3 linked regions of the Lonchura striata genome follow. The protein of the gene in region 1 purifies or fractionates together with the protein of each later gene. This does not show direct contact. Links are inferred from orthologs where the notes say so. Each region holds a gene or a part of one and is shown in the gene's direction. Other genes may lie near its edges.

What was found.
Region 2: the proteins of ARRDC3 (region 1) and WWP1 purify together in Homo sapiens (affinity purification with mass spectrometry; 4 studies listed by BioGRID and IntAct, counting the BioPlex papers as one, with this or other methods). This does not show direct contact. The link is inferred for Lonchura striata from reciprocal best matches to the Homo sapiens genes ARRDC3 and WWP1.
Region 3: the proteins of ARRDC3 (region 1) and ADRB2 purify together in Homo sapiens (affinity purification with western blotting; 6 studies listed by BioGRID and IntAct, with this or other methods). This does not show direct contact. The link is inferred for Lonchura striata from reciprocal best matches to the Homo sapiens genes ARRDC3 and ADRB2.

Annotation. Positions count from the first base shown.
Region 1 is NC_134642.1:67,596,564-67,604,615, reverse strand, and holds the start of ARRDC3 (arrestin domain-containing protein 3), read left to right. Parts: upstream 1-4,963; 5' UTR 4,964-5,176; coding exon 5,177-5,456; intron 5,457-8,052. UniProt on the Homo sapiens protein: Adapter protein that plays a role in regulating cell-surface expression of adrenergic receptors and probably also other G protein-coupled receptors.
Region 2 is NC_134603.1:27,225,040-27,232,172, reverse strand, and holds the start of WWP1 (NEDD4-like E3 ubiquitin-protein ligase WWP1), read left to right. Parts: upstream 1-4,121; 5' UTR 4,122-4,461; intron 4,462-7,133. UniProt on the Homo sapiens protein: E3 ubiquitin-protein ligase which accepts ubiquitin from an E2 ubiquitin-conjugating enzyme in the form of a thioester and then directly transfers the ubiquitin to targeted substrates.
Region 3 is NC_134617.1:1,908,745-1,916,191, reverse strand, and holds the start of ADRB2 (beta-2 adrenergic receptor), read left to right. Parts: upstream 1-4,425; 5' UTR 4,426-4,478; coding exon 4,479-5,652; intron 5,653-7,447. UniProt on the Homo sapiens protein: Beta-adrenergic receptors mediate the catecholamine-induced activation of adenylate cyclase through the action of G proteins. The beta-2-adrenergic receptor binds epinephrine with an approximately 30-fold greater affinity than it does norepinephrine.

The DNA of each region.
Region 1 (8,052 bases):
GCATAACCTTTGATAAACCAAAAGAATGTATAATGAAAAAAAAATCTGAGTTTTTTAGAAAATTCTATTTCAAATACTTTAAACATCTTTCTAGTATTCTTGCTGGATCGCAGAATGACAGAATCGGATGAGTTGGAGGGGACACAGAAGGATAATTGACTCCAACTTGTGGATATGAGAGTCTGGTCAGAGAGCAAGAAAACTAGATAAGTTTTCCCAGAATCAGCCTGGGAGATTTTAGGGAGTTGGAGATAAACAATGATATCCAATTATTAAAAACAGCCTGCAGTTAGTGTCTTCCTAATATCTGTTTTCTTGATATTCTCATAAGATTGTTTATAAATGTGTGTCTTGTTAATTAGCTAATTGGGTGAAATGTATTGATTAAATGACCAATCAGGTCCACCTGTATCAGATCAGTGTATAAAAGAAGCAACACCAAGTAAAGATGCATGCTTATGCCACTCAGCCTTCTGACTGACTTTTTGTCATTTCTTACTGAACAGTCACACCAACTCTTAAGTTACTATCTTGGCACTATTGGCAGAGTACCATGCCCTGACCAACGGAGTTAATATCATGGCATGTTGGAAAGATCCTGTAACAAAAATACACACTTTGCATAAAAGAAACTTTATATAATCACAAATATTTTAAGATTTCTCTGCAAAGTGCTAGTCAGAAGGAGAGATAAACATGAAAAGAGGGAATGCAGAAACAAAATTCAAGAGAACATTTTCCTCAGTACTACTGCGACTCAAGCACATTGCCAAATCCTTCTTCCTCGCACTATACGGTAAAACCCCATCAGAAAAGTTACATGTTACATCAAAAAAGTTACAACAGCAAAACATGTTACATGTTACTAGACTCACAGTAAAGTTTATTTTGTATCTTAATCACTCCTAAATAATTTTGATTTCATAATCCTGCATATTCTCATAGCCTTTACAATATCAGTGACCATCCCAGGTTTTTAAACATGACCACGTGTATGAGCCAGGTATGGAAGCTCTGCAGCTATGGCATGGACCAAAGTGTCACCTAGCTCCAAGACAGCTTTAAAATATTTTAAAGAAAAAAACCGCAAACTAATAAACATTTCAAACAGTGCTTGAGTTTTGAGACTGAATATTTTTTTTTACAGTATGTGCCTTCTGAAAGCAGAATCATCAGAAATACAGAACGCTCTTTCTCAATAATAAATGCTATCATCTAAAGATACAGATAATACGAGAAAAGCTGCTCCCAAATCCTGGATCTTTCAAATCCAGGAAACAGTTTCAATCTCCAAGTTTCTTTACATCACTGATTATTTCTCCATTAAAAAAATAAGCCCAAAGGAAGACTATTTAGCAAAAATTTCTGTTCTTTCTACAGCTCTGAGAGATGAACAACTGTTCCAGTGGAGATAGTAACAAAAAGAAAGTCTGTAGACATTCTTCTGAATCCCGGAGTTTTGGAAAAAGTTCCTCAGTACACAGATCTACAGTACCATAAATTAACTTTTTTATCTCACTATTTTGATGCGACAATATTTCACAAATGTAGCCTCACAAAGTTATGATGAGGGCAAACCTCATTTCTCTTATTTTTATGAATAGATTTGGGATCAGACACAACAAAGATGAACAGAAACAAGTCCATTAAGAGAACATTTCACATGTTTCATTCATTCACTGCACAAAACATAGAAACCATTCTGGAGCATGAGTTTTCTTTTCAGGATTCTCCCTTTGATAAGGACACGTTAACCTTCAGAAAACACGCATCTTCTATTCTGACACTCACTCTAGCCCATTCTCTGTGTACAAGGTAACAGCTTCACAGGGAGGGCAAACACTGTCTCCACATCAAATCAGGCCTAGTCTCAAACCAGGATGGTCTGTAAGAAGATGGGCTCAAAACCTGGATCTTCCTACTAATAGTAGTTTATTGATGAGTCAGGAGAACTTTGCAAGCTTTTCTGGCTTTGCTTTTAGAAAAATGTAATGACTGTTATCAAGATCATTGTGCATAATACCCACCCTTACAGATTTACCAAGTGCACAGTGAGAAGACTGATAAGCTACAAAGATTCTAAATGGACCTAACCTCTGGATTTTGAATGGTCTTCAGCATAAATGTATAATTACGTCACATGGAGGTTGAGAGAGTTCTAGGCATAGGTTGTTTTATTTAAAAAATAAGAAAATAATTTTAAAAGGAGAAATAATTTTTAAAGTTCCAAGGGAAAAAAAAAAAAAAAGACAAACAAGGAAGACTTTGCCAGTTTCAAGAAAGGGTTTGTAAAATAAGGTATAATCTTTATGCCTTTATGGAGGCTGGAATATTGCCATCTTCCTTGGAGCTACTAACTTCAATAGCAGACACCATGATCTTCATAGGTTCCACCAGTTAAAAAAAAAAAAAAAAAGAAAGAAATTTGGCTTAATTAATCAAATTAATACTTTTTTAAAACTTTATGTGAATTTTTGTGGACTGTATCATGCATAAGGCCTGTAAAAGGTTAGTGAAGGCTCGTGATAATTCATGTGTGTACAAAGTCTTCACTGCCTATTGTTGATCTAAGATGATAAGACCTGATTGTCTTTGCAACCAATTTTTAAAATCCCATGTCAGGATCTATAAAACTTTTAATATTTAACTAGAGTATAGCTCATTTGACAAATGCAAAAACTTAAATCCTGAAAAATATTTGGTTAACTTAACATCTAAAAAAATGCTAAATATTTTTGGCTAAACCTCATAGTATATTCTCCACTTAAATAAAATAAAATTAATGTTTTGGTGTATTTTTTTGTTGTTGCTGTTGTTGTTGTTGTTTTTGACAAAAAGGCTCCATGGAAAAATGTCAATTTTGCATAAATGCAGAGGCCAGAGACTGGTGAAAGTCAGTGCTGGCACTTCACCATCCTTGCCACAAGGTGGCATGACGAGTATGCTTTAGGAACACAAAAGTAAAACGAATACACTGAAGTATTAAAAAGAGCAGCAGAGGCTGAATGTGTACGGGTGATTTTTGGCAGGATGCAGGAAATGTATACATATACATACATAGATTCTTCTGCAGAGCTGTCAGTCTGAAGTTTAATATGCATAACACATGATTAACTAAACTATGTCAGCCTGTTCAGTGGTCTAGATTTAAATCACATATAGCCATACACGAAATATGGTGATCTAGGAGATGGCTGATGTCTAGTGAGAGGGGAGGTAAGACAGGGCTATGAGGTCTGCAGGGTATATACAGGGGATGATTTGCAGCAGCTTAGTGAAGTATTTTATTTTTCTTCAACAAATTTGGAATAGGCAAATGCAAACAGTACACAAAGCATGCTGCACATACCCCAACTATGTAGGATGATCCTCTTTCTTACCTATCTAGATTAAAAAAAAAAAAAAAAAAAAAAAATCCAGATTAATATCCACTGGAATAACAGATTTGTATCTTCAGCTTCCTGGAAAATGCAATTGCTCTTTATCATGTCTGCAGATTTGTCCTTGGGCAGGTGAACATTAAGAACCAGCCCAGAATTGGCAGAACAGGAGATATGACCCAAACCCTGTGGATGAAATCTGCATCCCACCTGGCTGCCAGCTTTCTCAACTCCTGTAGCAACTGGAGACCATGGAATTGTGGCTTCTATGACTCATGAAAGACACAATTATCTTTTAAATTACAGAATAGAATTAAAATGTGCAAATAAACACATGCAAGAGACTACCTGAGTCTGAAGGCATGAGAAGAACAAAGAAACACTGTCAGAAGAGAAATTTAATCAACTCTTCTTCTCTTGAAAGTGTTTTTTTTTATGGTTGGACTACAGGATTTTGAAGGTCTGTTCCAGCCTCAATTATTCTGTGATTCTAAGAGCTAAGGAAGTATGAATGCTTACCATGAGATGCTGCAAAAGCACAGAAAATCCTAATTTACCCACAAGAGACTTGAATTCCTTTGGCCACAAAAAAACCCCACATGAGAATATCCACAAGGCCAAGGAAAATGTGACTTTTTTTACTTAAGAAAAAACAGCAGGAATAGGCAAACACTTCAAAACTTAACCGTTAGCATGAAAAGTTAGCTGTGTATCTCAGTTTAGTCCCCCGAAAAAATGGTGTCTTGGGGTATGTCATCCACCACCATCATACTTCTCACTGAAAATTTTGTGTCAGCAGGGAAGTGAGCTAGAATTAGAAAATGTAGCATTAAATAACCAAACCCAGAGCATTTACCAGAGAAACAGGACAACCAAAGTAATAATGAAAAAAAAAAAAAAAATCAACAGTTGGAAAAAATTCCAGGGATGATTTACAGTAATGTAATTTTTATTGCTAGGACAGTCATTGATACTGCCGTAGATAAATTCAGGTTAATCAGTACTGATTTTCAAAAGTTAACAGAGAGGATCCTCACATAGTACAATATGTACTACCCTGAAAGCCAGGACTGCTTTTTATTTCTTGCCATGATTTTCTATCATTTCCTACCAAGCTTTGCTCACTTCTTTCCCATCTTTAGACACAGACACATACACACAGAGATAAAAAAAAAAAAAAAAAAAAAAAAAAAAAAACGAAACAAGGAAGAAAACCTAACCAAACAAACCAAAGCAGCAAAATCCTACCAACCAACCAAAACCACCCCAAAACCCAATGACCAAGAGAAGGAAGGCTTTGCCAGTTTCAGAACAAGGTCTGTCAAGTGAGGCACAACTTTGCTGTCTCCGTAGAGGCTGCAATACTGCCATCTGCACCAACAGAGCATCACCTGCGCGGCGTCCGCCGCAGCACACGACCCGCTCCGCCCGGCCGGGCGGCACAAAACGCGCTCCGCCCGCTCCCGGGCGGCGGCGGCGGCGGCGGCGCGGAGCCGGGGCTGCCCCGGCGGGGCGGGGCGGGGCATGCGCGCCCGCGCTTGTTTGTCACACGGCTTATAAGGCGGGGCCGGCGGCGGCGCGGCAGCGCCTTTGTGGGGAGACGCCGCGTCGGCACCAGCGCCGCCCGCGCCGCGGCCGGGGCTGCCCGCCGCCCCCATGAGCCGCCTGTAGGGTACGCGCCGCAGCACCCTGCGCCCCAGGGGCTCGGGGCTGGTTGTTTTTTGGGTTCCCCCTTCCCCCTTTTTTTTTTTTTTTTTTCTTAACAGTCTATTTTTGTACACTTTGCTATAAAAACCATGGTGCTGGGGAAGGTGAAGAGTCTGACGATAAGCTTTGACTGTCTGAATGACAGCAATGTCCCTGTTTACTCTAGTGGGGATACAGTCTCAGGAAGGGTCAGTCTAGAAGTAACTGGGGAAATCAGAGTGAAATCCCTTAAAATCCATGCGAGGGGCCACGCTAAAGTACGTTGGACTGAATCGAGGAATGCTGGATCCAACACTGCCTATACACAGAACTACACCGAAGAAGTGGAATATTTCAACCATAAAGACATCCTGATCGGCCACGAGAGAGGTAAGGGCTGCCCTTAACTGTGCTGCTTTATTTTTTTATGGAAAAAAAAGCACGCATCTTTGTATCACCCTGGTTTAGTCCTGTCTTTTAATTAGGTGCATTGGAGAGCAGGACGTGCCCAGGGTCGTATCTTGGCAATGGAGTTACATGTAGGAAATGCATTTGCAAAGTACCTGCAAGCAAGAGGACTCCCTCTGAACTACTTGCCCTTCATTACGGCTATATATTAATATAAGTTTTTTCCGAGTGTTTTACCTTTTATTTTTTCCTTGGTGATATTTAGTAGGATTTGCTGTTCCGTGGGGAAAAACAGCTGTAAAATTACAGCCAGATGGGCAGCGGACTTTATTGGCAGAATCCTAATTGAAACACAGCGAAAGCATAAAAACTATACTTTTTGACACATGAGGGGTTCTGCTGATGCTGTTGGAGTGGTAATACAATGCATTTTTCAGGATGGTTGATTATTTGCAGATAAAAGGGTCTCCCTAGCTTATTTTGACATCTCACCACCACACGTGTAATTTTTCCCTCATTTCAATATTCCCCTCGCCCTGGTAAAAAGCTTTAATTTCCTTGGGCCGCCCCTACACCCCGCTGGGCAATGGGGGTCACCCCGATGTAAAGATGTGTCCGAAAAGCCCTTGATGAGGAGCAAAAGGAGGGGGAGGAGAGAGAGGGGGGGAAGCGATATTGCGTAATGGAAGCATCTCTCCCAAAACTGGGGAGATGAGGACTTCCTGCTCCCCACTTCCCACTCGAGCCGCCGTGGTGTCCCCACGAAGCGCAGACTCCTTCCCCTGGGGGGTGCAAGCGCCAGGGCCCGGGGGTTCTCTGTGGTTTTTTATTTCTTTCTCCCCCGAACTTCGCAGCCTTTGTTCGAAGCGGTTCAATCCTGTTTGGGACCGGCTTTGTGGGAGGGGGGTGGGCCGCCCGCTCCGCGCAGATTGGCCGCACTCGTCAGGTGGTGGCGATGACTTAATTCCCCAGTGCAAGAAAATAATGTTAAAACCCGGTTATGTAATTTTTTTGGGCTGCTTGTCCCCCCTTTTTTTTTTTTTTTTTTCTGAAAATACATCATATACACAGCAGCGATGCGATATTTCTCGTTTTTTCTTAAAAAATAATAAATGTAATTTTTTAACAACTCCGGGCGGCACCGAGCGCCTTCACACAGTATTCCCGAGCTCAAAGCTGTAGCAGAACTCGGGCCTTTTTTTAGTTTGTTTTTTTTTTTCACGTCTCGAGCACACCGCGCTAACGAGGTGACTTAGGGCTGCCACCGCCTCAGAAATCAGACACCTGAGCGTAACTTCCCGCGGGTTCCAAGAGCGTGGAGACGGGAGTCTGCAGCCGCGCAGCAGCAGCCGCCCGTGGCGGGGGGAGCACGCGTGGGAGCGGGCGGGCCGGGAGCCCCGCGGAGCCGCGTCTCGGCTCCGGCCGCGTTTCGCCGCCTGCCCTCAGCGCGGCCCCGCGGCCCGGCCGCGTTTCGCCGCCTGCCCTCAGCGCGGCCCCGCGGCCCGGCCGCGTTTCGCCGCCTGCCCTCAGCGCGGCCCCGCGGCCCGGCCGCGTTTCGCCGCCTGCCCTCAGCGCGGCCCCGCGGCCCGGCCGCGCCCTGATTGGCCGGCCGCGGTTTGTTGCCCTGTTGCTAAGGCGATGCCCGCCGCTGATTGGCGGGGCGCTGGCGGCTAGGGTGAGTGAGCAGGTTTCGCTGCCTGCCCCCGGCGGGCAGGGGCCGCTCCCCGAGGCGCTGGCTCGGCGCAAAGCCCCTCAGAGAGAGAGAGGCGGCAGGGGGACGTGCTTGCGCCCCGTCTCGTCCCTGCCCCGTCACCTGAGGGGTCTGCCCAGCGCGGGCGGCGGCAGGGTCCGCCCTGGGTGCGGAGCCGGCGGCGGGGCTTGGCGGCGCTCCGGTTCAGGCCGGTCGGCTCCTGCTCCAGCCCGCGCTGATTGACAGCTCAGCACTTGTTTACCGCGGCGTGGCGGGACTGCTGAGCTGGCAGGAAGGGGGGGGAGCGCTGCTTGCAAGCTGTGGCTGCGCCGCTCTCCGCCAGGCTCCCCCCCCAGCCTCGGGAAAAAAAATTAAACAAAAAAGAACAACACATAAATCATATTTCTTATTTTAAAAAATCGTATTTATTATCATAAAAAAAAATAAACCAAAACAAACGCAAACCAACAGTATAAAAGTCCACCTTCAGGCCGACACATTTTCTTGCCTTTTCAGCACATTTTCCTGACCTACGTTGAGTAATGTTGCGTGCTGAAGGTGTATTTATTTCCACATCTTGCTGATGGGACGGGTTTTTTTTGTTTGTTTGTTTTGTCATTCGTTTCTAAATTTTAGGTATTTGCACTCCAGGAGGTAGAGCATCGCCTCTTCTATAGGACAATAGAAACTCAGAATCCCTCCATTAATGCTTCAGACCATCACACATAAGCTGTTCTCTTTCAATTTGTCTTGCTATAACCCCTTTTATAATTCCAGCCCTTTTTGTCTGCGAGGTGTTCAGTCATTTTTCACTCAACTTTTATTTTGACCAAGTCAACGTTTTTCTTGTTTCATGTCATAATAAACTGCAATTTTCTTCTGTCATTT
Region 2 (7,133 bases), on another chromosome or scaffold:
GACATATTACCCACCACCTGGACCCCAAATAAATTAGGCATAAGCCAAGTAGTATTTTTTTACTGCAATGAGGAGACATCAGGTGCCTGCTGCCAATGCGTACAGACACTGAGTACATCCACTGGCAGACTTGGGTGACTACATCTACATGGTTTTGTGGCTTATGCTTTTGAAGGTAAAATTTACATTTTATCTAAACCACAATTCAGGTGCCTAAATGGTTTTTTGAATATGGTCCAAAGAAACTTGTCCAAAATTTTTCTTACTCTGCATGAGTTTTGTAATAATAAATCTCCATGTAAAAAACCAAAAAAACCCCAACAATAACCAAGGACATTTTCCCTCTACTCTCATTAGACACATTCCATGCCCTCCCCTCCCCCCCCTCCCCTGCCCCCCCCCCCCCCCCCCTCGCCACATTTGGAAATTAGGGCTGAGTAAGCAATCAACATAACCATTTGCATTTAAGGCTTGTATCATAAAACTTTACTCATTTCAAACAGAAACCACACTGACTAGTTTTGTGTGCCTTTGCTCAGGTGAAATCAGCTTTCATTGGAGTCTATTAATGGCAGAAATATTTGGTTTCAGCCTCATGTTTTACTACTGCATTACTGTTAAGGAAGTTGGAACATTACACTTCACTTACACTTTTCTACAGAAGTTTTTAAACTATTCTGCAACATTCAGGGATTGTAGTTGTAAAATGTTAGAGAAATCAAAGAAACAGAAATGCAAATAGATGGTATTGTACAGTAATTGTATGGGCTGAGAAAGTCATTAATTTGCAATTGTACTGGTTTACTGCCTATTGAGATCTACAAGAGTTCTACAGAACAATAAATTAAGCAAAACTACTGTCACTCAGACTTTCCAATTAAAGGCTAGTAGAGCCCACTGCCACCCCTGTTTGGGCAGCTACAACAGAGAAACAATTAGTGAAAAGGTAAGATATAATTCCAGACACTGGTTACACTCTGATCTATTAAAACCTAAATATTGCAATAGCCTGTCTGAAAATCCATGCTTATCAAATGTACACGGTTCAAGTATACCAGAGAAGATCTATTAAAATCTGAGGATAAACCCAGTATATTCTGGAGTCTGTTTTATAGAGATCTGGTCTGAATCCAAGTTCTCCAAAACTGTCCTTACTTTGTAAAGAGTAAAGGAAAAAAAAAAATCAGAAATACATAAGGAGATGCTGTTAAAATCTTTCACTAGTATCATAAATTACTATCTCAGGAATGTTGTGTATAGAAGATACTCTTATATTTATTGAAATCTTCATGCAGACCATCTTGCAAAATTCCAACTTTGGTTGATTTGTTTTGGTAAGTTTAATGGCTTATCAAATGCTAACTGAGGTTAACTTTTGTAAAGGGATAGTGAAGGGGTTAATAAAAACTCTATTTCACCCTACAAAGAGCAAAACTCTAAGGTAACAAGGACACCCAGACCTACATTAATTCCTGCTAGCCTTCAGCACTGTATGATAATCTGTAATCTTTTCTGGCCAAAACAAAGAAGAAAACAAACAAAGGTGCTTATCTGCAAAATGAAGACACTGTATTTGCACTTTCTCAGGTATAAGTATACACATATAACTCCATAACTTGAATGTTGTCAGCAAGTTGTCAATGCATGGCTTTTAACCATTAAGTATTTAATACTATCAGGGGACTGGAATGTGAGGCGGCTCTTCTATGAAGACAGGCTGAGAGCATAGGCATTGCTCAGCCTGGAGAACAGAAGGCTCTTGGGAGATCTTATAGCACCTTCTAGTCCCTAAAGAGGCCTACAAGGAAACCAGAGAGGGACTTTTTACCATGTAGATGTAGAGATAGGACAATAGCTTTAAGCTGAAGGACAGTAGGTCTAGATTAGATATTAAGAGGAAATTCTTTACTGTGAGAGTGGTGAGACACTGGAACATGTTGCCTATAGAAGTTGTGGATGCCCCATCCCTGGAAGTGTTTAAGTACAGGTTGGATGAGGCTCTGAGGAAAACCTGGTCTAGTGGAGGGTGTCCCTACTCATGGCAGGGAGGGTGGGGAACTGGATGAACTTAAAGGGGCTTTTCAATCTAAATCATTCTATGATTCTATGTTTCCATTACCTACTATTCTAAAAGTAGTCAGAAATATTGAAGAGGTTTTATAAGACATTTATAACCTAACTTGTGGCATTAAGAAACTTGGGACATTTTGCATTCATAAGGGATCAAATGTCTTTTAAGATGGAAGAATACTTGGAATGTCACTGTTCCCCAAAGTGAGACAAATGTATGACAAAATTTGTTTTGAAACAGGGAGGAGGGAAGCCAGAAAAGCCCCTAACTTGTCTACAGAGTATTAATTAACTACACACTTCTCATACTTCATAAGGCAAGAAAGAAGAACTTTTAAATTTTACACATATAGTAAGAAGTAGTGCTCATACTTTCTATTAAGTATCAGCATCAGATTACTGATATTAGTAACAAGCAAAGTTTTATAGAAGAGAAATTACTATCTTCTGCAAAGACCAGAGATAGAATGGTTCCATGCACATCTTCACCCACCCTTTGCAGCTGGGAACATAATGCTACATCAATTTCAATTAGATCGCTTTACACTAGAAAAACAAACAGCCAGGAAAGTGAGATGGAGCACGTTACCACACTCTGAAAGTGCTACCAAAATATTTTAAAAGTGGTTCCTTGTAGTAAGCAAGTTCCTAATTTTGGACAACCTCAGAACTAAAGAGGGACTCTAGTTTTCTTTAAATGCAAGTTCTAATTGTTGTAGAGAAAATAGTATATGCTGAATTATGTAAATCAGAGGGATTAACTTGGTTGGCTTGCAATTAGCAACTAGGTTGCTAATTGCATACAGCTCATCTTACTGCCCATGCCAGATTTTGTGAGTGTAGAACCCATACATTCTGTTACATTTGCTGTGTACAGAAGCTCAAACCATCACAGTTTTCAGTCACTTGTATTACCAGTCAAGAGAAGACCAGTATTTTTTTCCTAGAATACTCTGAGATACTTTTAAAGCTGGACTGTAAATACTGTTTCCTTTGCAAACACTGTTTGGAAACTTTGTTTTCCTGTAGATTTTCTAAGAAGAATGAATAGGTAGGAAAGTAGTACTTTTGAGAGTATTCCTTTTATTGCCTGGAGGAATTTACATGCCCAAATCAGATTGCTGGCCCCCATGTTATTTTTTAAGAATAATGAAATACCGGACGTTGCTGAAAGCTGCTTAAGGGTCTCATACTGTAAGCTTTTGTTCCTTTCAATTAACAGTAGTGCTGGACTTTCTGGGACAACCACTCAAAGGTCTTATGCCCGAAAGTTCGTGCTACCACTGCCTCCACACTCCACAGCCTTATGTTGTACGGCACGAAGACAAAGCTTCATTAGTCTTCAATGTAAGACACAACTTTAGCTCCACATACTTGTGCATATGTAGCTACTTTTGGGTTTGTAAATCCGCAGGGGAGGCCCGAGACTCCTGCCAGGGGAAAGCCGGCCCCGCGCCCGTGCCGGGGCTGCCGCCGGGCGGGCGGTGTCTCGCCCCGCAGCGGGGCCGCTCTGCGCCGCTGCCGAGGGCTGCGCAGAGCTGCCCTGCCGCCCCAGGACGGGAAGGGCTGCGTTACTCCGAGAGGGGGAAGAGGTTCCGCGGTGGAGGACGGGGACCGGCCGGGGGACGGTCTGTCACGGCGGCAGAGCTCCCGGCGGGGCACAGCAGCTCGCCCTGCCGGCACGGCCGGGGAGGAAGGGCGGGCGGCGCTGGAGGAGACACCCCCCGCCTTTATCGCTCGTACCGCACCGGGGTGTGCTGGCTCTCGGCGCCGCACAGGAGCCTTGTCGGGGGACAGCGACTCGCAGGAGCCCTCCTTATCCTGCCCCAGCAGGCTCCGTCCCACGGACCGTGGTCCGGGGCTGCAGCCCGGCCCCGCCTCCCCCAAAGTCGATTCTGTGCTCTCGGCTCTTCTCCCCGCCGCGGCGCCCGACTTGGTTCAGCCCGGGGCAGGCGCTAGGAATAAGCCCTGTCCCCTTTGAAGAGCCTCGGCTCAGGCTCGCCTCTCCCCTCCCACCGCCGCTGCGCAGTGCTCGGTCCCGACCGGGCCCTCCCGCCGGGGCGGCTCCAGCGGCTCCGGCTGCAGCTCCACAAGTTCCTGCTGCCCGTGCCCCGGGCGCGCGCACGAGGCTGGCCCGGCCGTCAGCGGCGCCCGGCGGGAGCAGCGGGAGCGGCGGCGGGAGCGGCGCCGGGAGGGGCGGGAGGAGCGGGAGGAGGGCTGTTGTGCGGAGCCGCCGATGCCGCTGTGAGATGGCATCATTCTGCGCGGCGGCGGCGGCGGAGCGCGGCGCGGAGGGGTGAGGAGCCGCCGCGGCGGCGAGGAAGCGAAGAAGAAGAAAAGGGTGGAAGGAAGGAGAAGGAGGCGGCGGCAGCTGTGAGGCTGCGAGCCACGGTGAGTAAGGGCACAAACCAGGCTGTGCCGCAGCCGCTTTGGTTTGCGGTCTCGTCCGGTGGAAACACGGCTGCCGTCCTCGCCGCCGCTCGGCCGTGGGCAGCCGGGGGGGTGGGCGCTGCACGGGTGCGATCTGCCCCTGTCACCGAGGGGCGGGGAGGAGGGGAATGGGCGTGGGGGCTAAAATGGCGAAGGGAGCCGTGGTGAGGTCTCGGTCGCTCCTTTCCGGCACTTGGACTCGTCGCACCCCTCGGGCTGTACTGGCGGGGGGCGGTGGCTGCTGCTTCTCCCCTCCCGATGCCCCACACGGTGTTCGGAGCATTGCTGCTTCCCTGCCGCCTCCCGCTCTGGCTCGCGTCTGGACAGGGCTGAGGGCCCCTGGGCCCGCACCTGGCGAGGGGAGGGAGGGTCGGGCTGTGGTGAGCCTGTGTCTCTGTGGGGCCGGGGGAGAGGGAGGGGGAGTGTCGCCGGTGTCCGGTGTCAGGCGAATAACCTTGTTTATTCCTGGCTACGGCCTTTGCGAGGGTGACGGCGAGCTGAGTCGTGACCTGTGTCAACGCTGAGTGGATTGCGAGAGGCTTTAGTGGCCAGGAGTCAGTGAGGCAGCTCCGCGGCCAGCCCTGGCTTATGTGCGGGCTGGAAGCAGAGGAGAAGGATTTTGTTACGTTTCTGTTCACCTTCCTTTGGCGAAGCCGGGGAGGGAGGAGGTGAGGAGCCGTGTCCCCTCCTCGGTGCGCTGCTGTCGCCCCTCACGGTGCCAGCGCAGGGAGCACGAGGTGTTCTCGGTCAGCGCTCAGGTTATAGGTGTCTGTTCGTCTCTCGGGGTCCCTGTGATGGGTGTTCGCCTGAGCAGACTGTGTGAATTGAAGACCTCAAAAGACGTGTTTGTGTCCTTTATCTTTGTTTATGTTGTTGCAAAATGTTACAACTCAGTGTGTTTATTTTCTTGATTTTATTTGTGATTGTCTTATTTTTGGAATGATACCAATTCTCATCCCAGTTTAACTGGGATGATCTAGCTCTGCTTCCAGATCTATAAATGTTTAAACTGTACATCAAAGAGAGAAAAGGCCTTTACACCGTCTAGTCATTTTAATGGGAGCTCTTCGATGTTTGGGTGAAACTGTAAAAAAAGGTATTCATAGTTCAGTTGCATTTTCACAGGGCAGCTGTATCTTATAAAAAGTAATCAGGATGCCATGGATTGAAAAAAAAACTCAGGTTGTGCAAGTTTAATAATACTGGTTTACTAGGAGATGCAATCACGGACTGCAGGTAGCTGTGTTATATATGGTCATACCTGTAAAAGACAGTATGATCTTCATAGTAATAAGTCTACTCTTAAAATTGGTATACTGGTTTAATATCTACAACATAGAAACAAATGGACTGATATTAGCTGTGATAATGCTTTGCTAACTTGAACTGGTTGTATATTCAAAAAAAAAAATTTCCGTACTGCCTTATCTGAATCGATGTTGGTCCAGATCTAAACTGAATAACTATTTCTGATCGATTTAAATACTAATAAAGATTAAATAAATTTACTTAGAGAAGAAAATCTGAGAATTTTTCATCCTTTTGAGAAAAATTTTGCAGCTGCAAAAGCACAATTTACTTGGATTCATGACTAAGATGCTTTTAAATGGGGCAACTAGAAATACTTTTTGTTGATGCTGCTTGTGAACTTGTGGGTTTAGAATTCCTGTATCACCTCTTCAGTGCGGATTTTGAGCTATATTTTAAAGGTCTAGTCCCGTAAGTGCTTCTAGCTTGTGAGCAGCTTAGTACTATCTGTGGACTTCCCCCAGTGACACTGTAGAATAATTCCCTTAAATACAAAATTATACTTGGACGCTTGAGAGCTTTGGGACTGATTTATTCTCTTGGTATGGGACACTTTGTTACCAAAAGAATACGGATTATTTTTGTTTGTAAAATAGTTTGCATTTGTTGCTAAATATCAGTAAAAAACCACTGTAAGCCAGTATGTTTTTGTTAAAGGGTTTTCAATAAAGTTTAAATAATCACTTTGCCTACAAGTGCTTCTTAAATCACAGGAATACTGATGGAGTTCAGAGCCAACCCCTTTTCTTGAGTCTGTGGAACCCTTGGAAGGAGTAATGTCTGCTAGTTTTACTGCTTTTCATCTTCCTTTTTATCTTTCAGTATGAAGTTGGAAATTTTGATAAGTTGGAATTTCTGCCCACTTCCCTGTTATTTTTCGTGAGAGAATGTGTGTGGGGAAAGAGATTCCTTCTGGGTTTTGGACAGGAAGAATCAGAAGTAAGGATCTACAACAGGGAGTTGGTATCACATTCAATTTCTTCATACTTCTTATGCTATTAAAACATTAAACTTAAAAACTAAGGTGCCGTGATTGGAAATATCACAACCTAAACCATGTCTGTTAATTGGAAATGGCTTCTCTTTATGCATTTAAAGCAAATACTCATTGTTAGCTTAAAAAAAATCCTGCAACCACAAAAAACCCCAAGTTCATTTTAGAATTGAGATAATGAAGTGTGAAGGCTAGGTGAGGTAATGGAGTGATAACCAATATAAGTGCTTGCTGCAAGCTGTCTTTAAGTGATTCTTTTAAGTTACTTTTAGCTATGTTAAAAAAATTCTTCCAAAGGACTGAAAAAGGAGTGAAGCTACTGATAAAAATG
Region 3 (7,447 bases), on another chromosome or scaffold:
GCCAGGGTCCCAGGGCAGCCAGAGGGAAGCTCTGGGTTCCCACAGTGAACCAGGTCCTGCTTTGTTCTGTTCCCTTTCCCACCCTCACAGCACCCTCGGGTGGGGTCAGGTGGGGACAGTGGCACCTGTGGGAGCAGCTCCAGGGTCAGGCAGCCGGTGGCACCTGTGGGAGCTTTAGGGCAGCTCCAGGGGCAGGCAGGAGCTGTCCCAGGCCCTTCACACCGCCCTGCACCCCCCAGAGCAGAGCAGAACCCCCCCACTGCCCCTTCCCCTGCAGGGCACGGGGTGGGCACCGTCCCGGGGGGCAGAGGTGGCAGCATCACCCCCTTGGACCGAGGCTGGAGCGTCTCTGTCCCCTGCACTGCCCCTCCTGACCCAGGGCAGTGCAAAGGGGACCCTGGGCTTTCCTCACTGACAGCCCAGAGCTCCCCCCTGGCCGTGCAGGGAGCTCCGGAGAGAAGGGAGCAAACAAAAACTCAATTTTATCACTCAAACCCTCTTCTGACTGCGCCGGTCTTCCCGACAAGGAGAAGGGAGAGATTAACCAGGAGCTGCAAGTCAGGGGTGGCTCCCTCTCATGGCTTGGAGGGACGGAGAGGAAAATCAATCAGGAGCCAGGAGGCTGCACTCTGATCCCCCCAAAAACCTGCACAGAGCACCCCGACCCTGCTCTGAATCTTGAGGGAGCCTAAAGAATCATGGAATGGCTTGGGTGGAAGGGACCTTAAAGATCACTGAATTCCATCCCCAGCCACAGGCAGGGACACCTTCCACCACCCCAGGTGGCTCCAAGCCTCCTCACACCCTTCCCTGCGAGGAATTTCACAAATTCCCCTGCTGCCAAACACCGCTTTTGTTGAGGATTGTCACTTCCAAGCTCTTGCCAAGAGCCTGATCTGGCCAGGGTATTTAATTCCAGTTTGTGATAAACATCTGGGCAGGCACACAGCATCCAGCTCCTCACAGTCCTCAGGAAAGCCTTCCATGCCAAAAAGACGGGCTGTTTATTCCAGTTCTGTCAGTTGGGCTGATAAAAGTGATTATTTCTCTCTCCCAGCCCTGCTTTCTCATTGATCCCACAGGCTGCTCTTCAAATGTCACTCAGCGAGCAGGGAGAAGGTATCCAATTATGGAAAGGGAAAAGATCAGCGTGATGACAAAGCACCAGGGCCAGTGGGCCATGAAACAAATGAGATCTGTCTGGTTCTGACACCCTCCAAGTCCAAGGAACCCAGAAGGAGGCATTTTGGGCCTCTCCCCTCCAAAAAAATTCAAACTGAACTGTTCATAACATCTCTGAGGTTTGGTATTATTTTTGTTCCAATATGAAGCCTTGAACCTGATGGAAATCTAATAATTGCTCAAAAGCACAGGTAAAGTCATGCAAACCTCACAAGCCAGTGAGACTTGGGGTGATGGAATTTATTTTTATGTCAGGCAAATTCCTTCCTTTTTTAGAGCCTGTGGTCACTTGTCCAACTTACTGAGGGCCACAGATGTGTTGTCAAAGACAAAAATCATCTCAAGCCCACCCGAAAAGGTGAGCAAAGATTGCCGGAGAGCAAATCAAGGAACAAAAATCAGCTTTGCCCTCCTTCCTCCAGCACAGCCTCTTGTCCAAAGCCCAGGCTGAGATTTCTTTGAACAGAGTACAACAAAGACAAAATACCGAGCTGGAGACGGGGCTGGCTGATCCCTGCAGCCTGGGCACAGAGCTCCAGAGTCCTGGAGCTGCCTCTGGAGAGGGATTGCAGAGCCAGGGCTGCCTTGGGTAAAAGCCTTGTTACAAAGCAGGGAACTCGCCTGTGCCTCTCTCAGAGCAGCAGTTTCCCACACATCCCCAAATCTGCTTCTGCTCCTGCCAGGACCCAGTGCTGAACATCTGTAGGATGAACATCCTTATGTTTATCAGGAGAGGGGACTTAATTCTTTAGGAATGCTTGGATTTGGTGTCAAAATGCTCAGGAACAGCCCAGCAAACTCACCTGGTCACTACCTGACACCTCGAGTGCTTCTTAGAGCTGTCACATCAGCTCTTACCAAAAAAAGGGAACAGGGAGCTGAGGATGAGGTGTAGTTCCCACAATTTCTCCTTTTCCTCCTGTTTTTTTCTTTCCCACTACTGCACTTCCTGCACATCCTTGCTTTCCCAGGAGCTTTTGGCCGTGTTTTCCCTGCAAGGTGGGAGCTGCTGGCCTGGGGCAGAGGGTGGGAATGGACATTGCACCCAGCTGGGCTCGCCGAGCCCCTGTGGGGCACAGCCCTGCTGGGGTGAGGTCTGTGAAAGCCTCGGGGCCACAGAGTGAACCCAGCAGGTCCCAGCTCTGCCTGGCTGTGTGTGTAGGGAGGGATGGCCCCGTGTGCCTTATTTATCTTACGGGCAGGGGAAGCTCCAGGTAATCAGCTCAGATGGTGAGCTCCTCCCAGGGTCCCTGCTCTGCCAGATGTCTGCAGTGGGAGGGGGGTGACTTCTGCATCTCCTGTTCCTTGTCTCTTCATTTTTAAGCCTCTGAAGCGTGTGGATGCAGAGGTGGAGTGTGGGGAGAGCAGGGAAGCCGCGGGTTCAGGGCAAGACAGACACTTCATAACTGCCTTTAATCTCGTTTCCTGATTCCAGTACCTCATCTGCCCCTCTGGTTTAAACCACCAAACTTCCTCCCTCCCCTATAAATATCCCCAGCACAGCCAGGGCATGGCATGGACACCCAGCAGGCTGTGGTGTGGGACAGTGGGGCAAAGACAGCCAAAAGTGGGGAACCTGGCCCTGGCACCCCAGTACTGCAGGAAAAATGAGGCAGAATGATGAAAACGCATCAGAACCCAAGAGCTGATGAGTTTCACATAAGATTCACCATTGATAAGTGTTTAATTGCTGACAAAGGCAGGAGTCTGGCACTCCTGTGCCATGGGAGGGCCACAGAGCTGCATCCAGCCAGGGACTGACCTGCAGCTGCTGCTGCTGGCATTGGGGTAATCTGGGTGAAAAGAATTCTTTATTTTCTCCCTTTCTGTAGTACCGAGCTGTTTTAGAACCACAGCTTTCAGCTGAAACCTCTGAAAGCAGCCAGGGCCAGCAGAGTGAGATGGGTCTCTGGGAAAGCAGTGCTGCTTCAGAGGGATGGCAGAAATGAAACTCCAGAGGCAGCGTTTTATCTCCGGACAGGCTAAAAGGAAGTTTTCAGGATTCCTTAGCTCTTATTTAGCCAGTTTGTTTGTTTTGGAGGGGAGTGCTTGTGATAGTGTCGGGCTCTGAACACGTGCCTGGCTGCAGCGTGGCCAGCCACAGTTTCCAGTGGTCACTCCCTGCCTGGCCAGTGCTCCCAGCACAGTTAAGGGCTGTCTCTACCCTTGAGCAGCTCTGGGATTCCTGTGGCTGCTTCACTTGGATGCGCCCCACAACTGGGGAGCAGCAAGAGCACCGAGCTGGCGACTGGCAGGGACGGGGACACGGGTGACATCCTGCCACGAGGTGCCACCAACGCCGGTGGGGTGCCAGGGGCTCCCCGAGTCCTCGGGATGTTCCTGGCGCTGTGCGTCCTGCTGAGCACACGGGGGGCACGGGTGGGGTGGGGACACCGTGGGGGGACATCAGTGACGCGGGGAGAGCACTGCGGGCAGAAGGCGCAGGGACACGGCGGTGCCTGGAGCACATCCCGGGGCGGGGACGGGAGGGCACCGCGGGGACGGGGGAAGGGAGAACCCCACGGGGAAGGGGGAAGGGAGAACCCCACGGGGAAGGGGGACGGGAGGGCACCGCGGGGACAGGGAGTGGGGAGAGCCCCCGGTGAGCGCACCCCGGGGCAGGGAAGGGAGAGCACCGCGGGGACGGGGAACGGGCACGGAGCTGGGAGAGCCCCCGGCGAGTGCACCCCGGGGCAGGGGGACGGGAGGGTACCTCGGGGCAGGGGGAAGGGAGAGCACCGCGGGGAAGGGGAGCGGGCGGTCAGCGCACCCCGGGACGGGGACGGGAGAACCCCGCGGGGAAGGGGAGCCCGCAGTGAGCGCACCCCGGGGCAGGGAAGGGAGAACCCCACGGGGAAGGGGAGCCCCCGGTAAGCACACCTCGGGGCAGGGGGAAGGGAGAGCACCGCGGGGAAGGGGAGCGCGCACGGAGCGGGGCGAGCCCGCGGGGCGCGGGGATGCGGCCGGCGGGGCGGGGACACGCGTGGGGCAGGCGGGGGTGGCCGCGGGGTGCGGGGGGGCCGGGGTGCGGTGCCGGCTGCCATTGGCTGCGGCGGGCTGATGTCACGGGCTGCTGTCACTTAAAAAGCTCCGCGGCGCCTAACGGGCTGGGACACGGGCTGGGACACGGGCTGGGACGGGACGGGAGCGGAGCGGAGCGGCGCCGGTGCCCCAGCGCAGCGGCCCCGCGCCTGCCCCGCACCTGTCCCGTATGCGCGGCTCCCGGAGCGGCGCCGCGGCTGCGGAGCGCTGAGCGGAGCCGAGCCCTCCCCGCCGCCCCGGGGCTGCGCCGGGCCATGGCCGCGGCGGGGACGGAGCTGCCCGGCGGCAACGCCAGCGCCAACCAGAGCGCCGCCGACCCCACGGTGTCGCGGGACGTGTGGATGGTGGGCATGGGCATCCTGATGTCGGTGATCGTGCTGGCCATCGTCTTCGGCAACGTGCTGGTGATCACGGCCATCGCCCGCTTCCAGCGCCTGCAGACTGTCACCAACTACTTCATCACCTCGCTGGCCTGCGCCGACCTGGTCATGGGGCTGGCCGTGGTGCCCTTCGGCGCCTGCCACATCATCATGGAGATGTGGAAGTTTGGGAACTTCTGGTGCGAGTTCTGGACCTCTTTGGACGTGCTGTGCGTCACGGCCAGCATCGAGACCCTGTGCGTCATCGCCGTGGACCGGTACTTCGCCATCACGTCCCCGTTCAAGTACCAGAGCCTGCTGACCAAGGGCAAGGCGCGCGTGGTCATCCTGGTGGTGTGGGTGGTGTCGGGCCTGACCTCCTTCCTGCCCATCCAGATGCACTGGTACCGGGCAGACCATGAGGACGCCATCCGCTGCTACCAGAACGAGATGTGCTGCGACTTCTTCACCAACCAAGCCTACGCCATCGCCTCCTCCATCATCTCCTTCTACCTGCCCCTCGTCGTCATGGTCTTCGTGTACGCCAGGGTCTTCCAGGTGGCCAAGAAGCAGCTGCAGAAGATAGACAGGAGCGAGGGGAGGTTTCACACCCAGAACAAGGAGCAGGAGCAGAAAGGGGGAGCCGGGCACCGCCGCTCCTCCAAGTTCTTCTTGAAGGAGCACAAGGCCCTCAAAACCCTGGGCATCATCATGGGCACCTTCACGCTGTGCTGGCTGCCCTTCTTCATCGTCAACATCGTGCACGTCATCCAGGACAACATCATTCCCAAGTACCTGTACATCCTCTTGAACTGGCTGGGCTACGTCAACTCTGCCTTCAACCCCCTGATCTACTGCCGGAGCCCCGACTTCAGGTACGCCTTCCAGGAGCTGCTGTGCCTGCGCAGGTCCGCCCTCAAGATGTACGCCAACGGCTACTCCAACAGCAACGGCAGGAGCGACTACAACGAGGAGGACAACGGCTACCCCCTGGCCCCGGATAAAACCTGCGACTTGCTCTGCGAGGAGGGCTCCTTCCCTCGCCCCGAGGATTTTTTGCACGGCAAAGGTACTGTGCCCGGCGGGGAGGGTGCTGGGGGCTCGGGCGGGGGGTGCACAGAGGAGCCTTTCCAATGAAAATCAACCTCCTTTCGTAACGAGAGTGATTGTTTTTTAGAGAGCGCCTAAAACCTAACAGCTGCAAGAAACCCCAAACTCAAACTCTGCAAGCTGGCCCCTGGCAGGGCGGAGGGGCTGCTGGCAGCCCCCCCTGGTTTGGGGCACGACCCGGGGGTCCCTTAGCAGGGTGGGGGACGCCAGGCTGTGCAGGATGCTCGTCCCCGGAGGGATTTCTGGCCGTGGCCGGGACTGAACTGGCCTGGCACTGAACTACCTCATGACCTTGTGGGAGCTGGGAGCGGGGCTGGACCCCCCTGCCCGGTGGGACCGCTCCCGGTCCCCTTGTCACATCCCCGCTGGTGGCTGTGGGAGCCCTCCAGGCCAGGAGGGCACCTGGGGCAGGGGTGGCAGGGTTGTCCAGCCCGGGGCACTTTGCGGAGATGGCAAAACCCCTGAATTTGATCTGCGACAAACCGGCGGGGAAGGGATGCAGGCAGCGGGGCAGGCTCGGGGCTGCCGGCGCTGGGACAGTTTGATCACCGCCCAAAAACTGCGAGTGCTCTGCGGGGTTTTGTTTTGCCGAGTGCCACAGGACTTTCTGCAGGGGAAAAAAAAAATATAAATAAACGGAATCGTTTGCCTAGAATGTGAACCTGTGACTGTGGGACTCAGGAATGTGGCACTGGGAAGTCGGGTGACACGCGGCTACAATCACAGCCCAGCCAAAAGCTCGTAAAGCGCCCGGTTTGTTTAACTGCGAGGCTCAGATGACAGCGAGCCCGGGGAGGTGGGACGGGAGGAGGTTTGGATTTTCCGTGGCACCCTGGAAGCGCCGCTCCGACCGCGGCACGGCTGCAGGTCGCTGGGGTTGGGTGTGGAGGGGGTTTGTCCCGTGTGCCAGGCTCTGCCAGGTGTCCCCGGGACAGGACAGGACAGGACAGGACAGGACAGGACAGGACAGGACAGGAGAGTCCCTGCCTGGAGGGGGCAGCAATTTGGGCTGGGGGCGCACCCCGGTGCCGGAAGGGTGTGCAGTGCGGGGTTCTTTCAGGAATACTCGGGAAAAGGGCAGGAAAAGCTGCTCCCGGGACCTCTCGGGCCGTGGTGTCCCGGGGAATGCTCGGGCGTGCGGAGTCCCCGCATTTCCACGCGCTCTCCCCGCACCACGGTGATGTGATGTTGGTATTGGTGTTGGTGTCGGTGTTGGTGTCGGTGTTGCTGTTGCTGTTGCTGCTGGTGTTGGTGGCGTTGTCGGCTCGCTCCGTGCTCAGTTTGGGGGTGTGGGGGTCTCTGGGTGCCCAGGGGACCTGGGTGGGTGGCGAGCGGCCAGCCCGGGGCTGAGTCCCGGTGCAGCAGGAGGCAGAGCGGCTTTGGGGCAGCGCCGTGCCCCGTCCCGGAGGAGCCGGGGTGGGACGGGGGCGGAGCGGGTTTCTGGTTACCGACACCCCCGGCCGTGCCCGTGTGGCCTCGGCTGCTCTGAGGACTCGCCCCGAGCGCTGGTGCCCACAGGGCTGGAGGGGAATCCCCCCGGACGGGCAGGGAGCACGGGGGGTGTCAGCCTGGGGACAAACTGCTGGAGCTCTCCGGGTACAACGCGGGGCTCCGGGAATTCCTGCTGCTCCTTTTCCCAAAATGCTGCTGATCCTGCCTGGGAAGGAGGAGCAGCGCTAAGAGCCCTCTCCTCCCCAAGCTGTGACTGACTCGGCTCCTGTTGTCGCCTCGGCACCGAGCGGGGCCAAGGAATG